Oryctolagus cuniculus: one gene and its partner. The protein of the gene in region 1 binds, or shares a complex with, the protein of each later gene. Links are inferred from orthologs where the notes say so. Each region holds a gene or a part of one and is shown in the gene's direction. Other genes may lie near its edges.

Region 1 (9,916 bases):
GAGCAGGCAGAGGGTGGCGGGAGGGGGCAGAGGGCCGCAGTGCCAGCACCCCCTGCCTGCCCCGCCCCTCGCAGGAGCTGTTCTATGAAGACCGCCACTTCCACGAGGGCTGCTTCCGCTGTGGCCGCTGCCAGCGCTCGCTCGCCGACGAGCCCTTCACGTGCCAGGACAGCGAGCTGCTCTGTAACGACTGCTACTGCAGTGCCTTTTCCTCGCAGTGCTCCGCCTGTGGGGAGACCGTCATGCCTGGTACGTCCCCGGCGACTCCGCCCGTGGCAGAACTGGCGTTCGTGGAGGGCCTGTGCCTGTGCTGGGGCATCCCCAGAGGCCAGGCGTGTGTGAAGGCCTGCACGTGCAGCATGGGGTGGAAATTCAGTGTGCGCACCACCTGTTGTGCTTACACGCTCTTGGGACCTCAGCATGCATGGGCATCGGTATGCTGAGGCCAAGACAAGCAAGCCTGGTACGGTGCTGAGGATGGGACTGTGCGCCGGGCCAGGTGGCCTCTACACCCGTGGTGGAACAGCACGGATGAAGACTTGCATGTCCGGTACATGCAGGAGCTAAGGGTGTGCTGAGACTTTCATGCTGGGTGCACTGGGGTCTGGTGCACGCAGAGGGTGTAGTATGTGTGGGAATGCATACCTGATAGGTACCTGGGGACTTGGCACATGTGGAGAGTGATGTGCCCAGGAGACAGAGGACTTAGCATGTATGGAACCTATCACACCCAGGGCTTTAGAACTGGTGTGGGCAGACTTGCTTGCCTTGCATGTGTAGGGTCTCATGAGGATGCTGAAACCACCATAGCTCAGCTTACAGAGACATCACGCCTTTTTTTTTTTTTTTTTAAGATTTATTTTATGTATTTGAAAGTCAGAGCTACACAGAGAGAGAGAGAGAGAGAGAGAGAGGTCTTCCATCCGCTGGTTCACTCCCCAATTGGCTGCAAGGGCTGGAGCTGCGCTGATCCGAAGCTAGGAACCAGGAGCTTTCTTGGGTCCTCTCACATGGGTGTAGGGGCCCAAGGGCTTGGGCCATCTTCTACTGCTTTCACAGGCCATAGCAGAGAGCTGGATTGGAAGTGGAGCATCTGGGACTCAAACCAGCGCCCAAATGGGATGCCAATAACTGCAGGCGGCGGCTTTACCCGCTACGCCACAGCGCCGGCCCCAGATGGAGTCTTGTTGTGTGCTGAGGAAGTCGCACCTGGGACACATGGGAGCTAAATCATACACTAAACCCTCATGTCCACTTTAGGGGCCTAGCATGTGCTGAGCCGTGGGGTCCAGCATTTGGGGAGGTTCCCATTTGCAGTGTGTGGGGGGTCCTGCTGCATGTGCATGGATGCCACCCTGTGCGAGCAGTGGGAGCAGTGGGCATCTCCTGGGGGAGGCACGGGGGCGGGTGGCCCTCAGGAGCATGGGGCTCAGCCTCTGAGCAGGACTGCTGTTCCCCACAGGGTCCCGGAAGCTGGAGTACGGAGGCCAGACGTGGCATGAACACTGCTTCCTGTGCAGCGGCTGTGAGCAGCCGCTGGGCTCCCGCTCCTTCGTGCCCGACAAGGGTGCTCACTACTGCGTGCCCTGCTATGAGAACAAGTTTGCTCCTCGCTGTGCCCGCTGCAGCAAGGTGGGGGCTGGGCCAGGGAGTGGGGCTGGGCAACACTGGTCGTGGGGTGGGCAGGCCACTCAGCCTCACCCTGCCCATGGCCACTGCCCCCTCCAGACGCTGACCCAGGGTGGAGTGACGTACCGCGACCAGCCCTGGCATCGCGAGTGCCTGGTGTGCACCGGGTGCCAGACGCCCCTGGCAGGGCAGCAGTTCACCTCCCGGGATGATGACCCCTACTGTGTGGCCTGTTTTGGAGAACTCTTTGCACCTAAGTGCAGCAGCTGCAAGCGCCCCATCACAGGTGGGACAGGAGCCAGAGGGCGGGGTGGGTGTGGTGCTGGGGGAGGCTGAGGGGCAGGACTGACACCGGCATCCCTGCAGGACTCGGTGGGGGCAAGTATGTGTCCTTCGAGGACCGCCACTGGCACCACAGCTGCTTCTCCTGCGCCCGGTGCTCCACGTCCCTGGTGGGCCAGGGCTTCGTGCCGGATGGAGACCAAGTGCTGTGTCAGGGCTGCAGCCAGGCAGGGCCCTGAGCCTTCAGAACCAGGGCTCCAGGACTACGGCCCCTCTTCGCAACCCCCTCTGGGACCCAGCCCTTCCCCCAAATGGGGCTCCCCCTGCCCCCAGCGACCTCTAACTGGTACTCCCCAATCCAGACCTGGACTCCAGGACCCAGCCCTCTCCTCCATAGTCGGGGTTCTCAGAGCAAGCCCACTCCCCACATCAGGCCTGTAGACCCCAGCCCTTCAAACCTGAACTCTGGGGACCTAGAGCCCCCTTAAATCTGGACTACTCTCCAGAGATTTTAGGTGTCTTGCAGGAGCCTGGGAAGTCCTCCAAATGGACTGTACTCAGGCTTGAGCCCTGGCCCATCCCACCCCGGTCCCCTGGGCTGCGGGGAGGGGGCTGTCTGGGCTGCACCTGGGGAGGCTCCCCCAGTTAAGGGGCTCTGGGGTACAGGTGCTGCCCAGGCTGTGTCTGTCGAGTGTCTTCTCGTTTTATTTCAGCTGCATTTTGCCCAGAGATGGGCAGAGGGAGTGGGATTAGCCCGGCCCTCTTCCAGATTCTGCAATAAAGCAGTGTGAGGAAGCCAGGCGTCTGTGTGTTTGCCTGGGACCCTTTGCGGCTCTTCTAGACTTTCCGTGTCCCCGGGCAGAGGCCCAGGGCTACGAGTGCCACAGGGTAGGAGTCTGCCCCCCGGAACGGGATCCCTGCCGAAGCTACCGTTCCGGCAAGCTCGCCCTGCCTCCCCTCCTGCTGGCCGAAGGCTGCTTCTCTCCCGTGGGGAAGGGCGGCGACGGGGAGGTTCCAGGCAGGAGCGGGGCTGGCGGCGGGGCGCCCTCCCCCGGTACAAGCCGGCCTCTCTCCTAACTGCCCTGCCCAAATCCCGCGGAGCCTGCACTCGGTCCTGAGCCCCAGTCTGGGCCCAGACCCTCAACCCCCTTCCCCTTCTTCCCGAAGATTAGCGGGGGCGGCCCGGGATCTGCTCGCGGCCGCACGTTTTTTTGCCAAAAAAGGCAAGGATGCAGCTGCACGCGCCGCGGGAACATCTGGATCCGATTCCCAGCATGAATGGGTCACGGCCCCGCCCACCATGATTCAGGGGCGGGGGCGGGCGCGAGCCAGGGGGGTTGGCCCCCAAAGTGGGGAGAGGGGGCGGAGCACCCAGGACTGCGCTGCGCCCGCCCCGCCCCGCCCGCGGCTGCGGTGTGGACGCCGCCGCCGCCGCCGGACGGTCCGGGCAGGTACGCGTGCACCGCGTCGCGCCCGAGCCGCCCCGGGTGGGCCGCGCCGTGGGGCGGGCGGGGCCCGCCGGCCCGGCGGAAACCGCGTGATTATATGTATCTCGCAGTGAGTCCTGCCCGAGATCCTCTGGGCGGGCGTTGCTTCTCGGACACAGCCAGTTCCAGCCCCCGTAGGGAGTCTCTTCTCAGCCTCTCGACGCCGCCTCCCAGGCCCAGTGCTGGCCTAAACTTTCTTTTTTACATTATGTATGTGTAAATTTGAAAGAGAGAAACACACAGAGAGCTTCCATCTGGTTCATTCCCCAAAAGCTGATCGTAGCAGAAAGTGGGCCAAGCCCAAGCCAGACCCCTGGATGTCCTACGTGGGTGACAGAGACCTGAGTACTCTGGCCATCACCTGCAGGAAGCTGGAATTGGACGCAGAGCCGGCACTTGAACCCAGGCGCTGGGGTATGGGATATGGGCCTCTTAACTCCTGCCCAACCCCCTACCCCAAGTCCTAAACTTCCTGAGGCCACGGTTGACATTTTCCGCAAACATTTGCAGAATGTCCATCGTGTGTGTGCTGCCAACAAATCATCATGTTTGCATTTATTTTCTCTCTCCCACCAGCCCCTCTGAGGATCGAGCCTGCCTTGCTCACCCGGTCTGGGCTCCTGGCACTTACTGCATGTTCAAAAATATTTGTTGAGGAAGAGCAGTCCAAGCGTAGAAGCCAGCTGGTACAAAGGCCTGAGGGTCTGAAAACATACGTTGCTTTGGGGAAGCAGCAAGTTATTTCGTTTGGAGGAAGTGCCAAGAGAGGAAAATGGCAGGCAGGGCTCAGGTCCTGAGAACCCAATGCCAAGTTAAACAGACCTCGCCCTCAGGGCCCATATGCAAGCAGGGGTGTGAGACCGGAGTGTAGGAAAGAGCGCTCCGGCTGCAGCATGAATAATGGGTTGGAGGCACTAGACAGTTAGGAGGCAGGGCTAGTGGTCCCAGTGAGAGATTCCCAGGCAGGCAACAGCCGGGTGGAAGGCACAGCACTGGGGCCGGAGCAGTGTTTAGCGGAAGGAAGGCAGAGTGTTGGGGAAAAAAGTGAAGCTACAGCCCTCTGTTTCATTTCATTCCATAGAAACATGTTTCAGATTCAGCATCTAAGAAATCCAGATGTATAATCAAGGTGTATCATAATCTGACAATTTTTCTTGCCTAGTTAAAGCCTCAAATAATGGCTAATTTTACATTTGATGGCATCTCCTACTCACTGAAATACAGTAACTCCAAACCATTAGGGCCCTAAGTAAATAAATAAATAGTTGGAGTCCATTACTGAGTAGAATTTACCCCCTCCCTCCTCTCCCGTGGCCCAGGAAAAGCCCCGATCCCATGCTGTGACCAGGCTACCTTCCCCCAGGAGTGCAAGTCTCACTTAAATTCCCACACACAGTATGACCCTCACAAACCTCCCCCCCCGAGCTGGCAAAACAAGGTCATTATTTCCATATTATTATTTTACAAACTTTTAAAAAGCAGCACATATTTATTGTAGAAAAATGGGACAAGTCCAAACAACTAAAAAAAAAAGTTGTATTATATCCTCCTCTTTCTGTTAAATATGCATATATATATTTTCATTTTTAGGGTTTTTTTTTTAGATATTTATTTATTTGAAAGAGTTACAGAGAAAGGAGAGACAGAGAAAGATCTTCCATCTGCTGCTTCACTCCCCAATGGCCGCAAGGAAGCCGAGAGCCAGGAACTCCATCTGGGTCTCCCACATGAGTGCAGGGGCCCAAAAACTGGGGCCATCTTCCACTCCATTTGCCGGGAGCTGGATCGGAAGTGGAAGCTGGGACTGGAACCATTGTTGCAGGGGGCAGCTCAACCCGCTGCGGCAAATTGCTGGCCTCTATATTTTTTTAATATTTTATTTATTTATTTGAAAGTCAGAGTTATACAAAGAGAGGAGAGGCAGAGAGAAAGAAAGAGGTCTTCCATCCACTGGTTCACTCCCCAGTTGGCCGCAGTGGCTGGAGTTGTGCTGATCCAAAGCTAGGAGCCTGGAGCTTCTTCCAGGTCTCCCACTGGATGCAGGGGCCCAAGCACTTGGACCATCTTCTGCTTTCCCAGGCCATAGCATAGAGCTGGATGGGAAGAGGAGCAGCCGGGACAAGAACTGGCACCCAGATGGGATGCCGGCACTTGCAGGCAGAGGCTAAGCCCACTACGCCACAGCGCCGGGCCCCCCTACATTTGTTTTTAAATTGAAAAATTAATAGACGGATTTTAAAAAAAAAAAGATTTCTGGGACAGGTGTTTGGATCAGTGGTTAGGCCACCTCTGGGCGCCGGCATCCCACATGAGGGTACCTGGGTGTGGGTCCAGCTCCACTCTGCATTCCAGCTTCTTGCTAATGCCCACCCTGAGCAGCAACAGCGCTGGCTCAAGTACTTGGGTTCCTGCCACCCACAAAGGAGACCCGGCTTGAATTCTGGGTCCTGGCTTCAACCTGGCCCAAGCCTGCTTGTTGCAGGCATTTAGGGAGTGAGCCAGAGGCTGGGAGAGCTCTCTCTCTCTTTATTTCTCTGCCTTTCAAAAAAAAAATAACTTATGTATATGTACATATATAAAAGTTCCATGCTGTACTTTGGATATATACAACGAAAAAATTTTCCTCCCACCCCCGCTCTCGCAGGCCGCCTCCTCGGGAGCCACGCTGTTGCCTGCAGCTTGGCCACCCTGACAGCAATGAGCCCTTTGCATGGCTATTTTTGTGCTCACTGTTTGTGCCACCAGCTTTTCTCACTTTGACCATCTTTCCATACGAGTTCACACAGATTTTTTAACAGCTTTATTGAAGTACAATTTACATGCCATAAAATTCACTCATTTCAAGTGTCCAATTCAATTAATTCTAGCAAATTGAATAGCTATGCAACTGTCACAACCACCCAGTTCTAGAAGAATTGCTTTGCCCCAAAAAGGATTCCTCGTGGTCATTCTCAGTCCTTTCCAATCTCGCCTCCGGTCACCAGCAACCACTCATCTGCTCTCTGGCTCCATAGATGTGTCCTTGCCACCTTCCATCTGGACACAGACTCTGTCCTTTTTTCCTGTCTGCTCCTATTTTAAAAAAATATTTTAGAAGATGGCCCAAGTGCTTGGGCCCCTGCACCCCCATGGGAGAACAGGAAGAGGCTCCTGGCTCCTGGCTTCAGATCAGTGTAGCTCCGGCCGTAGCGGCCATTTAGGGGGTAAACCAACAGAAGGAAGACCTTTCTCACTGTCTGTAGCTCTACATGTCAAATAAATAAATAAAATCTTTAAAAAATATTTTAAAACATATTTGAAGCACAGAGAGACAGCACCGCCATCCACTGGTGCATCCCTCACGTGCCTGCAATGCCTGGGGAGGGTCAGACTGAACTGGGAGCCAGGAACTCTCTCTGAGTCTCAAACGTGGGGCGCAGAGACCTGAGTACTTGTGCTGCATCCCAGGCTGTGCGGCAGGAAGCTGGATCGGGAGCAGAGCAGGGCTCCGACCCAGGCATCATCACATGGGACATGGCCGTGCTTAGCCGACAGCCATGCTGCGTGCTCGCCCCCTCTGACTTCTGTCTCTTAGTGTGACACACTCATGGTTCATCATGCTAGTGTTCCTTTATTGCTGAGTACTATTGCTCTCTGTAGAGATTCCCCATTTTGCTTACCCACTCACCACTTAATGGACTAAGATCACATCCAACGTTTGGCAATTATGAATAAATGCTGCTATGAACATCAGTACCTATGTTTTCATTTCTCCAACTGTAAGTGGACATATAGATATTTCATTTTTTAAAGATTCATTTATTTATTTGAAAGGCAGAGTTACAGAGAGAGAGAGAGAGAGAGAGAGAGACAGGTCTTCCATCAGCTGGTTCACTCCCCAAATGGCCCCAACGGCCACAGCTGGGCTGATCTAAAGCCAGGATCCAGGAGCTTCTTCCGAGTGTCCCAACTGGGTGCAGGGGCCCAAAGCCTTGGGCCATCCTTTGCTTTCCCAAGTGCATTATCAGGGATCTGGATCGGGATTGGAAAAGCCAAGACTCAAACCAGTGCCCTTATGGGATGCCAACACCACGGGCGGTGCCTTTACCCCAATATGTTTCATTTTTAAGGCTGTATAGGTGCCGGCACTGTGGCATAGTGAGTTAAGCTGGCCTGCAGTGCCAGCATCCCACATGGGCGCAGTCCTGGCTGCTGCACTTCCGATTCAGCTCCCTTATGATTCAACCGGGAAAGCAGTGGAAGATGGCCCAAGCCCTTGGGCCCCTGCCACCCACATGGGAGACCTAGAGGAAGCTCCTGGCTCCTAGCTTTGGCCTGGCCCAGCCTGGCCATTGTGGCCATTTGGGGAGTGAACCAGCAAATGGAAGATCTCTCTGTCTCTCTGTAACTCTGCCTTTCAAATAAATTTTTTTAAAAAGCATTTAAAGGCCGGCACCGCGGCACACTAGGCTAATCCTCCGCCTTGCGGCGCCGGCACACCGGGTTCTAGTCCCGGTCGCGGCGCCGGATTCTGTCCCAGTTGCCCCTCTTCCAGGCCAGCTCTCTGCTGTGGCCCCGGAAGGCAGTGGAGGATGGCCCAAGTGCTTGGGCCCTGCACCCCATGGGAGACCAGGAGAAGCACCTGGCTCCTGGCTTCGGATCAGCGCAGTGCGCTGGCCGCAGCGCGCCGGCCGCGGCGGCCATTGGAGGGTGAACCAACGGCAAAGGAAGACCTTTCTCTCTGTCACTCTCTCTCTCTCACTGTCCACTCTGCCTGTCAAAAAAAAAAAAAGCATTTAAATACATATACATATATAATATAGCATTTCGTTACTTGGATGGAGCATACACAGATAATCTGTACATATGAATTCCTTTAAAAAACAAAACATTTTTTCCATTTTACTGTCAGAGGCACTGAGGTCCAGAGAAAGGTCAGATGTCACAGTGAACTCTAGAGACTCCCATCTCCCATGAACCCTTTACTCCTCAGTCTCGCGGCAGTACCTGCCCAGCGAGCCCCAGCAAGCCCCAGGAAGCCAGTCGCTTAACCGCAGGTGCCTGGGTTCACGCCATGGCGCCACTGTACCTCCGAACAGCAGGGGGCGCTGTTGCCATAGCGACACCACAGACGGGCTCTCTCCCTGTGGTGCTCACTTTTTTTCGACTCCCGGGACGCTTCCGGCACTCCCGGAATTTTGGTGCAGCCGGATGCACAGCGTGGGGACGCAGGCGCGCAAGGCGGCAGGAGTCGCTTCCGGCCGTGTCGGTGGTCTCAGTGGAGGTGCTGCGGCGGAGGGAAGATGGAGACGATTCTGGAGCAGCAGCGGCGGTACCATGAAGAGAAGGAACGGCTCATGGACGTCATGGCCAAGGAGATGCTCACCAAGAAGTCCACGGTGAGTGGGACCTGGACAGCGGCTGACGTCGAGGCCGGGCCGCTACCTCCGCGAGCGTCCTCGGGCGCGCAGACCCTGCCCGCGCTCCGCCCCTGCCTCCTCCCCGGGCCCCGCGCGCCCGAGGCCTGGGCTTCAGCCGCCGAGACCCGAGCGGGTGAGCTCCGCCCTCGGGCGGCCTTTCCAGCTCCGAGCTCAGACTGACGGCGCCTGTGCCCCGCTTTGCCTTTCCTCAGCTCCGGGACCAGATCAATTCCGACCACCGCACCCGGGCCATGCAGGATGTGAGTGCCCTGTGTCCTCTTCGGGGCGCGGTGGGCGGGACGGGAGGAGCCCGACGGGGTGCGGGATCTGCACGGGTGTGGGGTCGGCTGCGTTCCTGCGTCTACGTGGGGGGACTTTGACTACCCGGAGAGACGCCGCTTACAGCGCCCGGTGCCTCTTGGATGGCCGAAGACTAGTTGTAGATGAGCCCGTGACCCGGGCCCTTACCGCGGAGGGCTGTGCAGCAGCAGGTAACTCCGGGACGCTGTGGGGGAGTGTTTTTGACCACTAAACTATTTGTCCAGCAGTAGCCCAGTTGCTTACTACAAACAAAAGGAAGCGAGTCGAAAATAGTGTTGAAAATTGCTAAAGCCACATGAGGCGTAAATGGAAGCTTTACTTATTTTTATTAATATAAGGTTTATTGTATTTGAAAGGCAGAGTTACAGAGAGAGAGAGGTCTTTTCATCTGCTGGTTCATTTCTCTCAAATGGCCGCAGCGGCTGGGGCTGGACCAGGCCGAAGCCAGGAGCTTGGAGCCTCTGGGTCTCCCTCTTGGGTGCAGGGGCCCAAGCACTTGGGCCATCTTCTGCTGCTTTCCCAGGACATAGCAGGGAGCTGAATGGGAAGTGGAGCAGTCAGGACTCAAACAACCAGATGGAACATCCATCTCTCTCTCCCTCGCTTTCTGTAACTCTGCCTTTCAAACAAATCCATCTGCTGATTCCCTCACCCAGATGGCCACGAGGCAGCCAGGGCAAAGCCAGGAGCCAGGAGCCAGGAGCTTCATCAGGGCCTCCCACGTGGGTGGCAGGGGCCCAGGCACTCGGGCCATCTTCCGGTTCTTTCCCAGGTGTATCAGCAGGCAGCTGGAGGCGA
Region 2 (9,579 bases), about 87 Mb from region 1:
GAAACTGCTTTGAGAATTGTGGTTCTGTCTCCTCTGTGTAAAACTGGGTATTTCTATCCAGGGGTAGTCTACAAAATGAATCATTCCTGGTCTTTGTTTTCTCTTCACTTCTACGTGCCCTCTCAATCCTACTTTCCCCAAACTTTTCCCTCTGTGCCTCCCACTTCTTGCTGTGTCTCCTTCTCTCCTTCTCTCTTGTCCTAGTTTCCTGGGCCTCCCTTCTTTGTCCCATCCCTTCTTCCTCTTTGTCACCCAGAGCGCGGTGATCGTGATCTCAATGGCCTCCTCTCTTCACTCGTCCAGCTGCTCTCAGCCCCTGAAGCCCGAACACTGTGTGGCTTCCAATCACTAGTGCAGCGAGAGTGGGTGGCCGCTGGACACCCTTTCCTGACCCGGCTTGGGGGAACAGGGGCCAGTGAGGAGGTAAGAATCATTTGGGAGTGTTTCGGGTGTTGCAGGGGAGTATTACCAAAGAAGTAAGGGGATAAGAAAAATTACATAGTGCAGTCCACAGAAAGTGCACCTGCTCACGATGGTCCTGAGGTTAACTAAGCTTGAGGAACCGGGATGAGTGAAGCTCCCAACACCCTACGCCCTCAGTTCATATTGTCATCCCTTCACCTTCATAATGCCCCTCATGTCCTGTGTCCCCCAGGCCCATCATTTGTCATCCTCCCTCCTTGGGTCTCTGCCACCCTTCCAACCTCTTGCCTTCCCTTCCCAGGCGCCGGTGTTCCTCCTGTTCCTAGACTGTGTCTGGCAGCTCCTCCAGCAGTTTCCAGCTGAGTTTGAATTCTCTGAGTTTTTCCTTCTTGCTCTTCATGACAGTGTCAGGGTTCCTGACACCCTTACTTTTCTGAGGAATACTCCCTGGGAGCGTGGAAAGCAGAGTGGACAGGTCAGCGACCTCTATATTTTTGACTGGTCATTTGTTCTCATTGAGAAGAGCTGTGTGAAGTTCAGTCTTGATCTGTTTTATGAGAAGTGCGGTCCATGGGTGGGGAGGGGAGGTCACGCTTGCTCTCAGGACTAGGTTTTGCCCTCCATCTGATTCCTGGAGTAAGAGGGGAGAGTTTCATAATGTCTAGATTCAGGAGGAGGATTATATTACTCTATGTAACCATCCTTTTTCCTGCTTCCTCGGTCCAGTTCAGTTCCTACACACAAGTCTATACCCCAGGGTACTCCCACCCCCCAGCTGGGAATTCCATTAACCTGCAGCTGTCTGTCTGGGACTGGGATTTACGCTACAGTAATGAACAGATACTACAATTCCATAATCCTGGCTATAACCCAGAACACGGCCCAGATGCCTGGCTTCCGAGACAGCAGGTGAGGCATCTGACTTCTTCAACTCCCTTGACTTTCTCCACAGGCTTATGCTACTAGATGCAGAGAGACATAATGTCTGAGTTCCTCCCGGGAAGCCTCCCCACTTCTCTTCTGCAGCTGTCAGTCTCTGACTTTCCCCAGGAAGACACAAGTCCTAGGACAGAATAGAGGCTTATACTTTTGTCTTTCTCATTCCTGTTTCTCAGTCTTCCTGTTTCACACATACATTTTACAAGTTGCCCTAAAATCAACTTTCATCGGTCCCGAGCCCTAGTTGCAGCCTGATGAGGACAGTTCTGAGCGCAGGCCTGGGGTTCTGGTTGCCAGTGCAAGTGTAGATAGGAGTCCCATGCCCTTCCTAACAGACTGGGGACACTGAGCTTGTCTGGTTTCTCAGTTGCCAGTTGATTTCCCTTTCCCATTTAGCCAAGCTTCCTGGTTCCTGGCCCTCCCAGTTCTGTGTGGCTGTTCTCTAAAGGGGCCCTGACCCCTCTACACCAGCTCTGTCCGTGGCGGGAGAGTCCCTCTCTGCTGGCGGTCTCTTCTCGTTGGCTACCCCGGATGGCTGTCTCCTCTGAAAGCCTGGCTGACCAAGAGTGGGGGCTCCCTTTACACTGGGGAGCTTGCCCTTTACCTCCAGGGCTGCTGCTGCCTGGGTATCTGGGACCTCAGATCAGGCTCTGGAGACGCTGCTACCTGAGGGGACGGCCCGAGGTCCAGGTGAGTAAAGAAGACAGGGACTGGGAGTGGGGGAAGGGGCTTGACAGCTGAACCAGATGAACAGAGCTGGGAAGGCAAGGGGCTGGGCGGGCTGGGAAATGAAGTACCGTTAGAGGAAACTGCTAGAAGCTTACATTAAATGGAATTTAGGGCAGAGTTGGGAGGGGAAAGACAATTAGGCACCACAAGTAGCGGGCAGATCTTAGAAGCAGGGGTCTAGAGCTGCAATGACGTTTCTCTCTGTCCCTATTGGCACCCTTCCCAGATGGGCCTCTCAGCTCTCACAGTCTCTGGCCTCCAGGATGAACTATCCCATCTTCAGGAACTATTAAGGAAGTGGACACCAAGAGCGTTTCCTGGTGATCACTCCAAGAAAAGAGATCCAAGTACCATTCTCTCTCATTCCTGCTGAAATTGCTGGCATTCTCAAAGAGCAGCGGGGGATCTGGGTTGAGGGAGAGTCCTAATACTGCAGTGTTTTGTATATGGCCTTGTTGCCTCAGCTTTCACACTCCAGCTCTTAAGCAAACTCACTTAGAATTGAGTTTGTTGTGGACGGTGGTGCTAATCTTTAATTCTTGTCCTTTTATTTGGTTCCTGAAGCTGTTGTTTCCTGGGAGTTGAAGAATTAAGAAACAAAACAATCCACAATGTAATTGCTTTATAGATAGCCAGCTATTTAAGTTGTGACACCAGAGACGCTGTTCACCAGTTCCAACAGTATGGCCTAAAGACCTCATTCTTGCCCCTTCTTGCTGCCTATTTTAATTCCAATTTCTGTTTCTTCCTGTATAGTTTCTTTTGGAAACAAAGTGGATATGAAACACACCCTCTCTTCCAACTGTACATTTTTGTAGTGGCATTTCTATTTAAGTTCATTAAAGCACAATATTTATACACATTGCTGGCACTGATTCTTGGATTTGAATGAAGGATCCTAGATAGCAAAGACTTGAGAAAAGGTCCCCATCGTATGATTTCTAAGAAAGGAATGGATTTGGACCACGTGAGGCTCAGAATTCTCATCTCCCATTTAGAGGCAGACAGCCAAGAGCATATTATGACGTTGCTGGGGCCAGAAAGTGCTCTTGGAGTTGCAGCTTTGGTCACACTCCATCCGGGGAGCCTCAGATTCTGCTCACACTCCGGCTCAGACATTACCTCGAGCCAGCCAGAGGCATGAGGCCAAAACTAAGACGCTTGTGGAGCAGAGTCCTTAGGTTGAGGGGTCCCTGAGAACCTTTTCCTTTGGGTGACAAAAGGATCAGCTGGCTACAAAATACACGAAGAGTTACTATTTTTAGCTTGAAAGAGAGGAACAGACAACTTCCATCCGCTGGTTCACTCCCCCAAATGCCTCTAACAGTCGGGGCCATGCCAGACGCAGACCGGGAGCGGGGAACAATCCAGGTCTCCGACATGGGTGGCAGGGACCAAACTTGGGGTTTCTGCTGCCTCCCAAGGTGTGCATTTACAGGAAGCTCGAGTCGGGGGAAACCGGGGCTCGGACCCTGTAATTCTTGACTGAGGATGCTGTGGCTTAACCGCTGTGCCAAACGCCCGCACCGGTGGGAGACGTCTGGCACTGCTTTCAGAGGGCCTGCGCTTTCCTGCCCCGCCCTCCTCGCTACGACCGCTCGCCCCGGAACCTCGGCGCAAATCCAAACGCCTCTGAACCGGGACGCCACAGCACCGTCAAGTCCCGCGGGATCCTAAGATGGCCGCAGCCGCTTCCGGCCCCGCCCCCGTCCGGGCCCCGCCCAGCGTCACGTAAGTCTTCGCCCCGGAAGTGGAAGTAGTGACCGCGGCCAGAGGGCGGAGCCGCTGCTTGGAGGCGGCGGGATTCTTTTCGCCATGGCTGCCGGGCCGATCTCCGAGCGGAACCAGGGTGACTGGGCGGGGAGACGAGTCCGGAATGGGCCCGGGAGGGTGGGAAGCCCCAGCTAAGGCCAGTAGCGTCTCCAAGGCGGGAAACTGGACCCCCGTCCCCCGGAGGGCGCGAGACTCGCTTCCGTGGCTGGTGCGGGCGGGTTGGCCGGGTGCAGGCTGAGGCCTGGACGTGTGATGTTTCGTGCAGTCCCCCTGCTGCCTTTTCTGAGTGGGACGGAATTTGCAGCAGACACTAAAGTGAACTTCAGAAGGGGCTCTAGGTCCTGCGAAGAGGACGATTTAGGGCTTATTTGGATGCTTTCCACCTCCCCCTTTTCGCTTCTGTCCCACATCCCCGCCTGCAGTTCCTCTAACTGGGTTCCATCTTTATGTCCCGGTCAGCTCCTTTCCTGTCATATTCGTCCCCATCCTAAATTCCTGCATCCTCCCTCCAGATGCTACTGTGTACGTGGGGGGCCTGGACGAGAAGGTTAGCGAACCTCTGCTGTGGGAGCTCTTCCTGCAGGCAGGACCGGTGGTCAACACTCACATGCCGAAGGACAGAGTCACTGGCCAGCACCAAGGTGAGTCCGCGCCAAGAGGCCACTTTATGTATCTGACAGCTGCTCCTGAGGGTCCCAGCGGTATTTATACTTGTTTCAGAATGAGCGACCAGAAGATTGCTTCCTCTTCTTTTCTCTTTTTTAAAGATTTATCTATTTACTTGGGAGGCAGAGTTACAGACAGAGAGAGGGAGAGACAGAGAGAGGCCTTCCATCCACTGATTCACTCCCCAAATGGCCGCACTGGCCGGAGCTGGGCCAGTCTGAAGCCAGGAGCTTCTTCAGGTCTCCCACCCTGGTGCAGAGACCCAGAGACTTGGGCCATCTTCTCCTGCTTTCCCAGGCCATCAGCAGGGAGCTGGATCAGAAGTAGGGTAGCTGGGACTTGAGCTGGCGCCCATATGGGATGCTGGTGCTGCAGGCAGATGCCCAACCCACTGTGCCTCAGCACCGGCCCCAGATTGCTTTCTCTTAATCCTCAGTTCACAGTTTGTTTCTAAAATCATTTTCTTGTTCTTTGTGATTGGAGGGTGGGTGAGTTTTACCCAGTTTCGGGTATCTTCGCTCTAGTTGCTAATCTCCTCTCTGCCTGCTTAGGCTATGGCTTTGTGGAATTCTTGAGTGAAGAAGATGCTGACTATGCCATTAAGATCATGAACATGATCAAACTCTATGGGAAGCCAATACGAGTGAACAAGGCATCAGCTCACAACAAAAACCTGGATGTCGGGGCCAACATTTTCATCGGGAACCTGGACCCGGAGATTGACGAGAAGCTGCTTTACGATACTTTTAGCGCCTTTGGGGTCATCTTACAAACCCCCAAGATCATGCGGGACCCTGACACAGGCAACTCCAAAGGTTATGCCTTTATTAATTTTGCTTCATTTGATGCCTCGGATGCAGCAATTGAGGCCATGAATGGGCAGTACCTCTGTAACCGCCCCATCACCGTGTCTTATGCCTTCAAGAAGGACTCCAAGGGTGAGCGCCATGGCTCCGCAGCTGAACGACTTCTGGCAGCCCAGAACCCACTCTCCCAGGCTGATCGCCCACATCAGCTGTTTGCAGATGCACCCCCTCCACCCTCTGCTCCCAACCCTGTGGTATCATCACTGGGGTCTGGGCTTCCTCCACCAGGTAAAGCTTTTGGTTCGCAAATACGTTTGTCTTGGGGCTGCAGTGAGGAGAACAAAGAACCTGGAAAGGGAAGATCTCCTGAGTCAGTGGGTGATGAGAAGGGAGTTAGGAGGTGGTGGGTGGGAGGGGTGTGAAGAACTCTGTCGGGCTTCTCCAGGGAGGTAGGATTATTTGAGTAGTGCAACATGGCTTGTGACCTTAGAGCACTGGGAGGAGGGGGCAAGAACTCACCCTGCATAGACAGGTCAAACTGGGACAGGTTCTTTAAAGGCATTCTTTGCCCACCGCCATTAATCCTTCTTCTGATTTCTATATAGGCATGCCTCCTCCTGGCTCTTTCCCACCCCCAGTGCCGCCTCCTGGAGCCCTCCCACCTGGAATACCTCCAGCCATGCCCCCCCCACCAATGCCTCCTGGGGCTGGAGGACATGGCCCTCCATCAGCAGGCACCCCGGGGGCTGGACATCCTGGTCATGGACACTCACATCCTCACCCCTTCCCACCAGGTGGCATGCCCCATCCAGGTAGGTGTTCTTGGCTGGGAAAGGGAGGGATGTGCGTGAACGAACAAAATGCTCTCTTTAGTTTACTACTTACCACCTGTCCTGTTGTGTAAGTCTTTCTGCAGAGTAGCCTATACTTGCTGTTTGTTTGTTCCCTGTTGTTTCCCTTCTCTCTGACTCAACCCCAGAGCAGTGGTCTAGGGGATACTTCGACTTCTTAGATGGTTTGCCCTCTGCTGTATTTGAAACTAGCTGTGTACTCCTGTTTGAAATTCTTGTCTGTTTTTTTCATCTGTTTTTTGGATTCTCCACCTGACACCTCAGTTTCAGTCAATTTGATAAACTGATTTTTCTCTGGGTCTAGATTAAGTATACACTGATGTCTCCTAGTCTGTATCTCTAGTTCATGATTATTAACAATCTAAATCCATAATCCTGTTGCTCAGTGGACAGATCCACTTTTGTACCTCTCCCCTTCAGACCTTTCTCTTTTTAAAAAAATACGTGTAGGGGCCAGCGCTGTGGCACAGCAGGTTAACACCCTGGCCTGAAGCTCCGGCATCCCATATAGGTGCTGGTTCTAGTCCCGGCTGCTCCTCTTCCAATACAGCTCTCTGCTATGGCCTGGGAAAGCAGTGGAAGATGGCCCAAGTCCTTGGGCTCTTGTACCCGCGTGGGAGACCCGGAGGAGGCTCCTGGCTCCTGGCTTCGGATCGGCACAGCTCTGGCCATTGCAGCCTATTGAGGAGTGAACCATCAGATGGAAGACCTTTCTCTTTCTCTGCCTCTTTTCTCTCTGTGAATAAAAAGAAAAAAAAGAAAAAAAAAAACAAAAAAAACCTAGGGAGTCCAAATGGATTGTGCGCTCACCTTTGCCTCTCTACTGAGCCGCCCTCCTGGCCTGCCCAGGTGTAATTCTCTCTTTTCAACCTTGTAACCTCGCTCTCCCCCAGTTTCAGCGACTGGGCACTCTGTCTCTTCCGTTCAAAAAAAATTTCTTTATGTAATTATTTATTTGAAAGGCAGAGTTACAAAGAAGATGAGACAGAGAAAGAGAGCTTCCATCTACTAGTTCAAATGGCTGCAATGGCCAGGGCTGGATCAGGCCAAAACCAGGAGCCAGGAACTCCATTTGTGTCTCCCATGTGGGTGAGCAAGGACCCAAGTACTTGGACCATCGTCTGCAGCTTTCCCGGGCTCACTAGCAGGGATCTGAAGTGGAGCAGTCAGAACTTGAGCCTTTGCTCCATGTGGGATGCTGGAGTTACCAGCAGCTGCTTGACTTGCTGTGCCACAGTGCGGGGCCCTCCCCCTTCAAACCTATTCTATAAGTCTTCCGTATTTTTCAGGTGCATAATTCATGAGTCTAGGGCTGTGTTTGATTATTCCCTGTCACCTCACTTCCTGCTTTTAAATATTAATTTTATTTATTTGAAAGGCAGAACTACAGAGAAATCAATCTTCATCTGCTGGTTTACTCCCCAAATGGCTGCAACGTCCTGGGCTGTGCCAGGCCAAAGCCAGGAGCCAGAAGCTTCATCTGGGTCTCAAACTGGCGCCCATAAGGATGCCAGCATTGTAGACAGCACTTAACCTGCTGTGCCACAGCACTGCGCCCTCGCCTCACTTGTCATACGAACTCTTAGACTTGTGGTATCTGCCTCCCCTGCCAGTGCCCTAGTGCAAGCTCTTAGTCCCTTGTTATTTCACACTTAACTGTGCTGATCTCTTGCCACTTTGATTACAGTGTTGTCCTGAATCTATTTTCCCAGATGTTTTTCCGCCAGGTATTCAGATACCCTTTCTCAAAATTCTGTTGTGCCCTTCTACCTGCAGAGTAAAGCTTCCCCACACACTCAGTACCGTGGCTTTCAGGGCGTTTCCTGATCTGGTCCTGCCATCACCCCCATAGCCACTGCTCCAGATTATTGCTGAGTTACTGGTATTTGCCGAGACGAGACGTCTGTGCTCTTTGACACGCCTGTGATTCTCAAATGCTCACCTTTCTGCCTTGGACAGTTTGTTTCCATGTTCTCATCCTCCTGAAACATTCTGTCCTTTAGGTGGCTGTTGGGGCAGCCTGTCCTGTCAGTGGAGTAATCCCTCCAGTGGTTACACACTTGTGCATTACTATTCCAGTGCCTGGGTCATTGAGGAACCATGACGTGCGGTGGTTTGTCCTGTTGGGGTGGGAGCAGGGACAGGAGCACCTTGGATTTTCTAGCCCCTTCTCTTCCTGATGTCATTTTCTTTCTCATGTTGCTCTCTTCTCCATCTTTGTTCTCTTCCTGATTTTCCCCTTGTCTCTTATTTTCACAGGGATGTCTCAGATGCAGCTGGCCCACCATGGCCCTCATGGCTTAGGACACCCCCATGCTGGGCCCCCAGGCTCTGGGGGACAGCCACCACCACGCCCACCTCCTGGAATGCCTCATCCTGGACCTCCTCCAATGGGCATGCCCCCCAGAGGACCTCCGTTTGGATCTCCCATGGGTGAGTGGGCTGTAGCCTCCTCCTGTCTGCATATGTATCATTCTCACAGCTTTCTTTGTCAGCTTTCCCATGCCTGTTCTTTTCTTTCTCACGTTTCTTTAAGTCACTTTTTCCTCTTCCCACAGGTCTTCCAACATCAACTGTCTCCTGTAACTCACTGCTACTAATTTCTGTTTCCCTTTTTGCAGGTCACCCAGGCCCTATGCCTCCACATGGTATGCGAGGACCCCCTCCACTGATGCCGCCTCATGGGTACACTGGTCCTCCACGGCCCCCGCCCTATGGCTACCAGCGGGGCCCCCTTCCTCCACCCAGACCCACTCCCCGGCCTCCAGTTCCCCCTCGAGGCCCACTTCGGGGCCCTCTTCCTCAATAAACTCCAATTCTCCTTCCTATTATTTTCAGCTGAAGTTTTTTCGATTCCTTGGACCAATCAGAGTTGCTGTAGCTAGCTTCTCTGAGCTCTCCATTTTTAATGTAATTTTTCCCCACAAGATTTTTCCTTTTTTATGTTGGTCCTAAGTGTTTTGCAAATGCACATGGAAAATAAAACTGTACTTGTTTATTCTTTGTGGTGTTATCCTTGGCAAAGTAACTTTTCTCTTTTTCTCCAAGAAGTGTCGGGTCTTGTGAGAGAAATGGTAAGGATTCTGTGATGTGCCGTTGGAATAGCTGGTCTCTGAGGTGCCCTGGAGTGGCTATTTCCTTGCATAGAGCTTATCTCTAGTTTATCCCATGGGGTCCCAGTATCTCGAACATAAGAGTATTATAGTAAGATGAGAAAAGAAGTAAGATGCCTAGAGATAGGCTGGCATAAATAGCAAGTAGAATGCACAAAGCTGTTCATTGTAACTCTCTTTGTGGTAAGAGGAGATTGGTAACACCTCACATATCCATCTGGTTTGACAAATAACAACACTGCCTGGTGTTGGAGGCAGGCTGAGGTCGGAGCTGGTTCG

What was found.
Region 2: SF3A3 (region 1) and SF3B4 share a complex: the UniProt entries of both Homo sapiens proteins name them as parts of the 17S U2 SnRNP complex. The link is inferred for Oryctolagus cuniculus from reciprocal best matches to the Homo sapiens genes SF3A3 and SF3B4.

What each region holds. Positions count from the first base shown.
Region 1 is NC_091438.1:134,808,353-134,818,268, forward strand, and holds the start of SF3A3 (splicing factor 3A subunit 3), read left to right. Parts: upstream 1-4,990; 5' UTR 4,991-8,680; coding exon 8,681-8,776; intron 8,777-9,009; coding exon 9,010-9,057; intron 9,058-9,916. Other genes in the region: FHL3 (four and a half LIM domains protein 3), read left to right, coding at 75-249, 1,463-1,632, 1,729-1,915, 1,996-2,150. UniProt on the Homo sapiens protein: Component of the 17S U2 SnRNP complex of the spliceosome, a large ribonucleoprotein complex that removes introns from transcribed pre-mRNAs.
Region 2 is NC_091438.1:48,023,390-48,032,968, forward strand, and holds SF3B4 (splicing factor 3B subunit 4), read left to right. Parts: upstream 1-3,817; 5' UTR 3,818-3,906; coding exon 3,907-3,940; intron 3,941-4,376; coding exon 4,377-4,505; intron 4,506-5,081; coding exon 5,082-5,624; intron 5,625-5,941; coding exon 5,942-6,148; intron 6,149-8,446; coding exon 8,447-8,620; intron 8,621-8,808; coding exon 8,809-8,996; 3' UTR 8,997-9,188; downstream 9,189-9,579. UniProt on the Homo sapiens protein: Component of the 17S U2 SnRNP complex of the spliceosome, a large ribonucleoprotein complex that removes introns from transcribed pre-mRNAs.